Linked DNA regions of Mus musculus. The protein of the gene in region 1 interacts with the protein of each later gene in a pairwise test. Links are inferred from orthologs where the notes say so. Each region holds a gene or a part of one and is shown in the gene's direction. Other genes may lie near its edges.

Region 1 (3,740 bases):
CAGGATATGCAGGATGTCACAAGTGAAAAATTCCACATCAGAGCTCGCGGAGTAGATCACAACTGAGAGAAAGTGTTGCCTTCAAAAATGTCAATAAGAAGCAAACTAATAACACGTCTAGGCTGGAGTTTAAAACAAGTTATTGTACATGTGCAAATATTCTCAAATCTGGAAAACTCTGAATCGCTTCTTGCCATAACTATTCTGGGTAAAAGATAGCTGTTATATCTAAACAAACATATTTTAGAACCTAGGAATGCCAACATGATATCTTAAATCTGTCCGCTTTAAGTGATGAGAAGGGCTAAGGAATTCCATTATTTCAGAACAAGAAAGATGATCAAATCTAAGGACTTCTGGCTTTGGAAGCTTCAACAATGGTCATTGTATAAAGGAGAGTTTGAGGAAATATCAGCTTTAGATGACCTCTCGATCTACCTTTTTATTTTTGGACACCAATATGTTGCATCTTATTCATGAGAGACTGTTAGGTATCGAAAAGAGCTGCATTTAAAATATATTGGGAAAGATTTGGATGTGCTCCCAACATGGAATTAGTCATTTGTGAATGACATAATTTAAGAAGTAGAAGATTTCTTATAAACGCAGAAGATGCAGTGAGCAGGGCAAAAAGGTAGTGGGAAAATATGAAAAATACACTGTCATAAAATGTGTATTAATAAATATGTTGATCATTTTCCACTAGAATCTTAACGGAAGCTTTAGATGAAAACAAAGTGACCTAATAGAAATGGAGAGCCCAAATCTATAGTTATTAAAATAATTCAAAACCAACAAACTGAGCATCCAATGATGAATGAATGCATATATATATATTTTATATATCCCTCATTTTCATGTGGGGCCTGGGGGATTTAAATTCTGGTTCTCATGCTTGAACTGCAAAAGCTCTTAACCACTGAACCAAGTCTCATTTTAATTAAAATTTTAAACTCCCATCAATTATGCTATATGAATCTACTACTTCTAGAACATTCAAATCTCACATGGATTTATCTCCAGTGTCTGTAACTACACTTTACATTCTTCCTTGTTTGATCTGCATTCAGATATGTAAGAATTTATCTCTATTAATAATTTCTCAATATTCCAATCTTAAACAACTCATCATCATCATAAGGTACAGCTTTCCAAAAGAAAAAAGAAAAAAAAGTCATTTCTGTTTCTCTTATTCTTTTGTAGAAAAACCAAAATCAAGAATTAAGTCTTTCTCCAGGACCTTCACATTTAATTTGATTTTGCACAAACTCAGTGTGTCCGAACTTAACTTCACCATCTCAGCTACATCTTTCTCCTTCAACTTGTTTCTTTCCCTACCATCATCTAGTTCTGTGCCATACAGGAGACCAGGAAATCTTTTACATAAGCCTAGTGGTACCCTCCCTTAGACCCCAGTGGTTGGGCTTTGCTGCTTCGCTCCTTTCCAGCCCTACCACCCTTCTGGCTTCCCAACACGCATGCGCAATATCGCATCAGCCCCGCCCGCCCGCTGCTGCGGAAGGCGCAGTGCTCAGTAAAGCGCACTTCCTCTGCTGGTCTCCACCGAGGGAGTGCCCGCTCCAAGAGCTCCAAGCCGCATCGGTCCTGCTCTGATCCGAAGGCGCAGACATGTCGGAACAAAGTAAGGACCTGAGCGACCCTAACTTTGCAGCCGAGGTCCCCGACTGTGAGATGCAGGACAGCGATGCCGTTCCGGTGGGGATCCCTCCTCCCGCTTCTCTGGCCGCTAACCTCGCAGGGCCACCGTGCGCTCCCGAAGGCCCTATGGCAGCCCAACAGGCCTCGCCACCGCCCGAAGAACGGATAGAAGATGTTGACCCTAAAATCCTGCAGCAGGCCGCAGAGGAGGGCCGCGCCCACCAGCCCCAGAGTCCAGCCCGGCCGATCCCAGCACCGCCAGCCCCTGCCCAGCTGGTGCAGAAGGCGCACGAGCTCATGTGGTACGTGTTGGTGAAGGACCAGAAGAGGATGGTCCTCTGGTTTCCAGACATGGTGAAAGAGGTCATGGGCAGCTACAAGAAATGGTGCAGAAGCATCCTCAGGCGCACCAGCGTCATCCTCGCCAGAGTGTTCGGGCTGCACCTGAGGCTGACCAATCTCCACACCATGGAGTTTGCCCTGGTCAAAGCCCTCAGCCCAGAGGAGCTAGACAGGGTGGCGCTCAACAACCGTATGCCCATGACAGGCCTCCTGCTCATGATCCTGAGCCTCATCTATGTGAAGGGCCGCGGGGCCAGAGAGGGTGCGGTCTGGAATGTGCTGCGCATCCTGGGGCTGAGGCCCTGGAAGAAGCACTCCACCTTCGGAGACGTGAGGAAGATAATCACCGAGGAGTTCGTCCAGCAGAATTACCTGAAGTACCAGCGTGTGCCCCACATCGAGCCTCCCGAGTACGAGTTCTTCTGGGGGTCCAGAGCTAACCGTGAAATCACCAAGATGCAGATCATGGAGTTCCTGGCCAGAGTCTTCAAGAAAGATCCCCAGGCGTGGCCTTCCCGATACAGGGAGGCTCTGGAGCAGGCCAGAGCTCTGCGGGAGGCTAATCTTGCTGCCCAGGCCCCCCGCAGCAGTGTCTCTGAGGACTAAAAAGGTCCAGGGGCACACTGATAGTTTCTGACCCATACTAGGGCTGTGTAAGGGTGGGGTTGAGTCATTAGAGTATCCCAAATCCACAGTGCAGTATTTCATGTATAATTTTTAAGTTTTCCATACAGTGCTTTTGTACCTTGTAATGCTATTCATTTGTGTACTCGTGTAGTGTTTAAGATTGATGCATGTGTGATAAGTATTTGGTACTTTCACTTTTGTGCTTTCGTGCATTTTTGTACAAGAGATGTGCTGTGCTAAACTTGTGAAATACATTGAGGTGTTCTGTATCTTGTTCTTTGTATGGGACTGATGATCTGTATCGACAAAGAAGGCCCTGGAGAGTTAGCAGGACTTAACAGCAACGCAGACCTGAGCAAGAGAAAGGTCAAGGCCTTTCTCCATATGACTTCAACTGGCACAGGAAGCATCCATGTGGAATGGACTGATTTGAACTGGACTGTTCTCAGTGTAGGCACTTAGCACCCTTTACAAAACATGTATGCAACCCCACCATAAATAAACGTTAAAATGAGCATTAAAGATACTGTGAAATAATTTCTTGGGGGGGGGGAGGAGGCATTTATTTTTGATGAAAGGGGGAGTGGGAATGGGTGGGGATGAGAAAGATTCTCCCTGTGTGCAGCATAAGCAAACACGGTGTCCTAACACAGTGGGAGACCACACGACCACTCAGAAGAAACTTGCAGTGCTTTAATCAATTTGTCACATAAAAGGTATAACAACAACAACAAAAAAGCTCATTATCACATAACATGGGGATAATAACAGGTATATGGAGGGCCTGCCCCTTTTCTGTTGCATTTTTTAAAATAGTCTTTGATGGACACTTTAGCAGAATAAACCCTTATCATGCATTTTCTTCTTTATTTTGTCCTCCCACCAGCCATAAGAAGTAAGGAATAACTGTATCATCACAGAGCAAGAAAAAATAAAAGGGGTGTTGGTAATGAACTATCCTAAAACCTTTATACAGGAGTCTTGACACCAAGCTCCCCATGGCCACCACTCACACACGCACTCTGGCCTCCCTGCTGTATGCATTAAGGGTTTGATTTTTCTAATTAATTCCAAGAGTTTCACAGAAAATTAGCTTCTGAATGTACAAATTA
Region 2 (3,749 bases), on another chromosome or scaffold:
GCGCGCGCGCCTGCCTGCCCGCCCGAGTGGCCAAGGCGGGGGTCGGCCCCGCGCTCCGGGCGCGCCTCTGCCACGGTCCCCAGTCGTGACTGGAGGCGGAAGTGTGGGGACAAGTTCGAGCGTCACTGGCTCCCCACACGTCTTGGCGTGACCTGGGAACTTTCCCCGGCGTGTGCAAAAAAAAAAAAAAAAAAAAAACCCAAAAAACAAAAAAAAACCACGGGTGCCCCCTCGGCCCTGGGTGGGGACGGGCAAGGATGCACCGGCGTCTGGCGCGGGAGGGGGACGAGGGCGCGGGGCAGGCAGCCACATGCGGCGGGAGCCAGGGAGGGAGGCGGGCCGGGCGGGGCATGGCGGGGGAAGTGACTCAGGCCCGAGGCTGGCGGGCCCACGCGAAGAGGAGTCGGGGGGCACGGAGGACCCCGAGCGGACAGGCTTTAGGCTGGACGGGACGAGAGTGTCACCCCCCCCTCCAGGCGTCCAGGGTGGAGCGCGGGGGCGGGTCCAACTGCGGGGCCCTGCGGGACAGGGGTCTGACATCTGGGTAGAGGGCGATCGGCATCCAGCCCTGGGGGAGTCGGGAGGATCCCAGTGGCGTCCAGCTGTGCAAACAGGAGGAGGGCCAAGCCGACTCCGGGGAGAGGGGCGACAGTGCTGCTCCAGCCGCCGCCGCCCGGGCGCCCGCGCTGCGGGCAGTGCCAGCCTCCCCGGCCCGACGCAGAAACTTGTTGCAACCAACAGGCGACCGCGGGTGCCCCTAGCCGCCAGCGGCGGAGTGGGTGGGCGGGCGAGAGGGAGGGGAAGGCTGGCGGACGCCGCCGCGAACTGGTGGGCAGACCCGGAGTCGCCGCGTAAGCGGGGCCGGCTCAGTGCGGTGCGGCAGGCGCGGCTGTGCGGCAGCGGAAGTCCTTTGTTGCAGCGCAGTCCCTGGCAGAGCCCGGAGTGTCTCGGCGCAGCCCAGCCGAGCGCCGCGCGCCGTCAACTGCAGCCCGCAGCCCCTCGCCTCCGCCCGCCTTCCCAGCGGCTCCGCTGCCCTCAACTCCATAAAACCTCCGCAGCCGCGCGTCCCACCGCGCCCGGTGAGTAGCTGCCAGTCGTCGGGGCCATTTGCGCAACTTTGGCCGAAGCTGGGCCACGGGCCTGGCGGAGTGCGTGGCCGAGGCGGCGCCGACCGGTGCGGGGAGCCGGAGCGTGGAAAGCGCGCGGCGAGGAGCCGGTGGCGGGGGTCTGCCGAGCGGCTTCGCTCGGGGCCGGCCGTCAGTCCGGTGCGCGCGGCCTCTCCGGGTTCCGGACGAATCCCCTCTCCAGACGACTTCCCAAATTACTTCTTTTCCCTTTATTTTATTTTGTGCTGGGGGGGTGGGGGGAGGGGAGGTGGAGGCGGGAGGCCGCGCTTGATTGACGGGCCCAGAGCGCGCTTCGCTAACTTCCAGCTGCGGCTGGGCGGCCGGTGGGAGGGGAGCGTCCCGGAGCCGGAGGCCGCAGACTTGGGCGCGCTCCGAGGGAGGAGGCGGCTGGGCCGCGCGGATTCCTGCTTCGCTCTTTCCCACCCCCGCTCCTCAGCACACACGCTTTTTGTTCGGGTCCAAAGTGGTAGGTCTCGGGGGTTTGGGGGGTTTTCTGTGTACGAGATCCTCCCCCCCGCCCCCCGAGTCCCGAGAAGAAAGTGCTTTTTGCCTCCAGTGGTGGGCGCTTACAAGTAGAAGTTCTGGTGGAGGCGGTGAGCTAGTTGGGTGGCGATCTGGAGTCCTTGCTGCTGAAGCGTGCAGGCGTGGATCTGGGCTCAGCCGCCGCTCCCAGGCTCCCTTTCCACCTTAGCCACTCGTCCACGTGATCTGAGGGCTTGACAAGACATTTTCCAACTCGGACGGGTCTAGAACAGGTTAATGAAAGTCCTTGTTTTCTGGGGATAGGGTTTTGTATGTGTGTGATCATGTTCCCAAATCGAATGTCGCTGTGACGGTACATGTAGATTCTCCACTGGTCAGACTGTATTTCCGTACAGTATGAATCGCTGCGGCAACATTTTCCCCTTTGACACTGGAATCCACAAAGCGTTCCAAGCATTTCCCCCCGACCCCCACCCCGTTTTGAGACAAGGTCTGGCTAGGTAGCCCAGGATCGCTTGGATATAATTCTCCTGCCTCAGGAAATCCTAAATTTTGGGGTGATAGGCTTGTTCTGAGGCTTTCCAAGACCACTTAGAATTTCTTGAGCCGAAGTTTGAGGCACCCTGAAGTCGACTGGGGAAATCGATGTAGTTCTTATGACTGTTTTAAAGCAACCATGTTTTTTAAAAGGTATAAAATAGGTTCTCTGGAATTTTGTCACCTCAAATGGATATGATCTGGAGAAATGGAAAGAATGAAGGTACAAGAGGCTGAAGCCCAAATGATGGATGGATGGTCAGTTGCCTAGAACTGTAAAACTTCCCTTTTGAATCACTATCCCCTAAAGTCTCAGTAATACTGAGTGGCATTGGTAGCTGCATGGGGTTTCTTCCTCTTAAAGAAACAGACGGACCTAACGCAGCCGAGGTGCAGTGCAGTGCTTTTCCAAAGGTTAAGGCTTAGAAGTTCTGCGGTACAGTGCTGTGTTCCAGCCACTTGCACTCATTTTAACACCAGAATTTCTCCGTTGACAGCAAGTTTTATAGGGTGTGGTTGTGCACGTCTATAATCCCAGCACTTCAAGAGGTTGGATCAAGAGTTTGAGGCTAACCTGGACCTGGCATACATAGCGAGACCTTTTTTTCAAAAAACAAAACTCAGGGCTGGAGAGATAGTTCAGGGGTGAAGGGCACTTGCCTTTCCTTCAAGAAGAACTAAGTTTGACTCCCAGCACCCATCCCAAGCAGCTCACAACTACCTGTAACTTCATTTCCAGGGAGCTCTGGACTCTAGAACAATTGTACTCATGTGCACACCCCTCCCCCCACATACATACACATCATTAGAAATTAAAATTTAAAAACCCAAAGCCTCAGTTTTCATGCTGTTGAGTAGACCTGGTTGAGCAGTCTTTCCAGCTGGCTGTGTTCTTCCAGTTCCTAACATTATGCCTGCTGGTTTGCACCACTGCTGCTGTGTCGTTGTCAGGAAAGAACCCATTTTAACCAGGCCACGAGCACAGCTTCCTGATCTTGTAACTTGGTTTTTGGTGTTTCCAGACAAGTGTTTTTCAGTGTATCCCTGGCTATCCTGGAACTCACTCTGTAGACCAGGCTAGCCTCAAAGGCAGAAATACACCTGTCTCTGCCTCCTGGATGTCAGGATTAAAAGCATGGATCACCTTGACGGCTGTTTTATGGGGTTTTTTTGTTTTGTTTTGTTTTGTATTTTAAAGCTAGAGTCTCACTGTTTGGTCTGGGGCCAGCCTTAGCTTTTGGTCCTCCTGCTTCAACCTCTCACCTAGTGGTGGGATAACGGGCCTGCACCTCCACCCCAGCCTTCTGACCTTGTGGGGTTTTTGTTTTTGTGAAGCAGGGTCTCACTCTTGTAGACCAAGCTGGCCTCAACCTCTTGAGGGATGTGCCTGCTTCTGCAGCCACAGTGCTAGGATTACAGGTTTGTGCTGCCAGTCCTGCTCAGGACTGTGTGTTTCTATGTCATAGTAGCTGCCAAATGTTTGTACCTTCTGCTTCCTCATTCCTCCACACTCCTCCCTCCACTTTTGTCAGTACAATTGGGGGCCTTTTCAAAGTGCCCAGTGTTCCTTGTAACACCATTCAGGAAAAAAATGTTACTGCC
Region 3 (3,649 bases), on another chromosome or scaffold:
GTCTCAGCTGAGGGATACTCAGGCTGTATTCTAGGAGGCGGCAGGGGGTCACAGGCCTGAAGACTGCTGATGTACATACATCGTGTACATAGATCCAGTGTGCACCATATACATAGATCCATGCCCTTATCTAAGCTCTGCTCAGACCTGAGCTGTTACACCCTAGTGCTCACTCACAGCCTCCTCCATCCCGCTCTAAACTGGTCATCTCTGAGTGACCCAGTCATCTGACTGAGGGGACCCAATTTAATTTCCCTTCTCTTAATTTTTTGCCTTCTTTCTCCTGTTCTGGGAGCGAGCCTGGCCTGGAATGTTTTGAAGCAGGATATAGCATCCAACATAGCTTAAAGACTGATGGTCTCCGGCCTTCTAGCTCTCTAACTGTAATAAATGCTTGCTGATAACTTATTTTTAAAAAAATCTTAAAAGCTTTCTTGCTTATTCTGTGGTTAAACACTGTTGACTTGTTTTTAACTCTGTGTTTTATTAAGCATAAAGAGTTATTTAGTTCTCTAGACTTAAATAAGCACTAGGGAAATTTAACTCTGACTGTTCCATGCTTCATTGAGGCTGAAACTTAACTCTGTATTACCTGTGCTTTAGTAAGTGCTGATATCTGGAGATTGGCACTTGCTGTTTAGCAGCAGGGAACTAAGTAAAGGGATCCATTGCCAGTGCTCCCTTCTCTGGTGAGTCGCCAGAAGCCGCTCTGTAAGCTCCTTAGCTCTCTGTGAACCAGAGAGCAAGGAAAGGACAAGAAACGAATTCAGATGCTTCCCACAGGCCAATATGCACAGACACACATGCATTCATACGCTCACATGCTGGCCAGGCCTGACTGTCTGTCACAATCAATTCCACAAGTATTTATGTGTGCTTGCATATATACATATACCTACACACATTCATATAGACAGACAGACATACACTTGGATGGATGGATGGATGGATGGATAGATAGGTCAGAGCCCCCCAAGCCAAACAATTCAACAACTTTATTTCTTTTCTCTGGCCTTTTAATACCTTCTTAGACAAAAAGTTCACTGTTTATCTGTGAGAATTACTTCATAGATAAAATGTTACAGAAAATGGGAATTGCAGAAGGATGCTGATAATGAGTTCAAAGCAATGTTTCATTCTATTATGCTCATTGTAAGTTCAAACCAATAGTTTCTACATGGCCTTGCCTTATATCATAGTGCACACTGTGACTTTATCCTTGGACCTGAATGTTTCTTCTTGAACACAAATTGTCCCAAGTCCATTTCTCTTTTAGTGTGATTATGGAAGTGTGATTATGTGTTTCTTACTGTGGAGCCTGTACTTCCTGTTAGGAAGAGAGGTCAGAGTCTATTCCTGATTCTAACGTTATTACATCCTTCTAGCAGCTAAGACCGTCTTTAAAAACTCTTTTCCTAAAGTTATTTGAACAAATCAGGAATTCCACAGAACCATTTGTCTATATAGCATCACTACAAAATAGTGATTCTTTGTAGATCTGCAGAGATCTGCTCAGAAGGGTGGGTCAATACCTAGTGATTGCTTTATATTTAATAACAGGAAAAGCATATTAATAGCAGGAATCTTTCCTCAAATGTAATCTCCTTGGCCTTGCCTAAAAGAAGCGAATCTGTCATGGCTTTGCAGTCCCTAGGGGAACCATCTCAGAAGGTCACCTGCTAGTTCTTAGTTCTTAGCTTCTCCTAAATGGCTCCTGGCACTCCTGGCAGGTATTTTTTAAAATTATTCAAGTATTTCTGCCCTCCTTGGGTGTTAATAACAAATAAGGGATATTTCATGTAGACACATGTCTGACCTGCACCTTTGGTACTGTTTCTCTGTGATAACTTACCAGCATTGGTACATTTTCTTATAATTTCATGTCTTAATACAGCAGAGAGAAACATGGTAACCATGAAATGATATGGAGAGAATGAGAATTAGTGGTCTAACTATAGCTAATCTCTGCAGCTTATTTAGTGGAGCTGCCTCTCACTGAGAGACGCAACTCAGATCCCAGTCCTGCCTCTTGCTCTGTGGCCCCGGCCTGCTTCTCTCAGCCTGCATCCTGCCTTTATGCACAGTTAGAGGATTGACTTTGTGGCAGTATTCAGCACAGTATTGCATAGACAGGGGCTGCCTCTCTTCAGACAGATGGAAGAGATCTGTCTGGATTGGGGAGTGTCTGTGTCCTCAGTGTTATTAGGTATTAGTTAATGGAGAGATTTTAACAGTCAGATGCGGTGCCCTGGTGTACAGCCACTGCGAGCTGCTCTTTATTCCGTCTGTGCCGTAGGCTATCTCCGATATAGAAGATGACTCTGGGGAACTGAGCAGAGACAGCGTGTGGGGCCTTTCCTGTGACACTGTGAGAGAGCAGCTGACAAACAGCATCAGGAAACAGTGGAGAATTTTGAAAAGTCATGTAGAAAAACTCGATAACCAAGGTAACTACTGCCCCAGGGCATGCAGAGGGGGTGCTGCTGTTCAGTCCCAGGAACAGCAGTGCTGTGGGCTCAGAGGTCTGCGCACAGCCAGGGTCAGACTCTGCCTGGTTTGCTCCTGGTTTTGCACTCACTGAGAGAAATGCACTTGGCTTCAGAACAAACCTTAGAGAACAGTGTCGCCCATAGTCTAGTGTTGTTTGTGTGCCAGCAAACGGGGCTATCATGCCAATATAGGTTCCCCGGGAGCTTACACAGGCAGCTGTATGCCACCTAACAGGGGTGCTGGAAGCAGAGCCAGGGAGCCAGGGACCTCTCAGGAGCAGAGTGCACGCTTACCCTCTCAGCTGTCTCTCCAGCACTAACATTTCTGTGTAGTAAGTGAAGTCTACTTAAAACGTATGGAAATGATGAGACCAGTGAGTCTTGGTCCCAGTGCCACGAGCTGTGCAGGGCAAAGGGCGTGGTTCTCACTGCAGCTCCCTCACCGAGTTGGATGAAGTGTGCTCATGTTCTCAGTCCGTTTATTAGAAAGCTTGCCTGGATTTACAATGTGAACTCACAGTTGTTAGTACCACTCTCCCAAGCACCATCAAGAAAGTTGATACGTTTGTGACTTTGTTAGCATCCTTCTGTGGTTGAGCCAGTAGCTCCTAAAGACTTGGAGGTGAGAACAGAGGCATCGCACCGTCATGCCAGTCTGAATAATTGTAGTTGATAAGCCAAGGGTTAGCGGCCGTGCTGCCTTGAAATCCATTTGGTCCTAAAATTGTGTGACTATATATACATTGTCAGAACTCGGAGCTGTTTTTCTTTAAAATGTTTGATTTTGTCACAGTTTTGAAAATGCAAAATGCCAGAGACAATAACTCCTTCTTACAAAACCCAGAAAGGCAAAAGTTGTGCAGTCTTTTGATTTTTAAAAGTCTGTTCAAGATTGTGAGCTGGCAGTGGCTGTGAGACCTGTTAGCTTCCAGTTGTTGTAGTTAGCGTTTCTCTTGCTTTGATGAACAAGAGCAGAAGTAACATGGGAAGAAAAGGTTTGTTTACCTCACAGCTCACAGACTGTCAGGAAGGGAGGGCGGGGCAGGAGCTGAGGCACAGGCCATGGAAGGGTGCTGCTATTGGCTCGATCCTCATGGCTTCCTTAGCCTGCTTTCCTATATAGCCCAAGACTGCCTTCACGGGGTGGGGGTGGGGGGTAG

What was found.
Region 2: the proteins of Ndn (region 1) and Zbtb1 interact in a two-hybrid assay, tested with the Homo sapiens proteins (2 studies listed by BioGRID and IntAct). The link is inferred for Mus musculus from reciprocal best matches to the Homo sapiens genes NDN and ZBTB1.
Region 3: the proteins of Ndn (region 1) and Ssx2ip interact in a two-hybrid assay, tested with the Homo sapiens proteins (2 studies listed by BioGRID). The link is inferred for Mus musculus from reciprocal best matches to the Homo sapiens genes NDN and SSX2IP.

The regions. Positions count from the first base shown.
Region 1 is NC_000073.6:62,346,779-62,350,518, forward strand, and holds Ndn (necdin), read left to right. Parts: upstream 1-1,498; 5' UTR 1,499-1,629; coding exon 1,630-2,607; 3' UTR 2,608-3,150; downstream 3,151-3,740. UniProt on the Homo sapiens protein: Growth suppressor that facilitates the entry of the cell into cell cycle arrest.
Region 2 is NC_000078.6:76,369,652-76,373,400, forward strand, and holds the start of Zbtb1 (zinc finger and BTB domain-containing protein 1), read left to right. Parts: upstream 1-868; 5' UTR 869-1,079; intron 1,080-1,445; exon of another isoform or gene 1,446-1,593; intron 1,594-3,749. Other genes in the region: Zbtb25 (zinc finger and BTB domain-containing protein 25), read right to left, coding at 1-540.
Region 3 is NC_000069.6:146,428,633-146,432,281, forward strand, and holds part of Ssx2ip (afadin- and alpha-actinin-binding protein), read left to right. Parts: intron 1-2,296; coding exon 2,297-2,447; intron 2,448-3,649. UniProt on the Homo sapiens protein: Belongs to an adhesion system, which plays a role in the organization of homotypic, interneuronal and heterotypic cell-cell adherens junctions (AJs).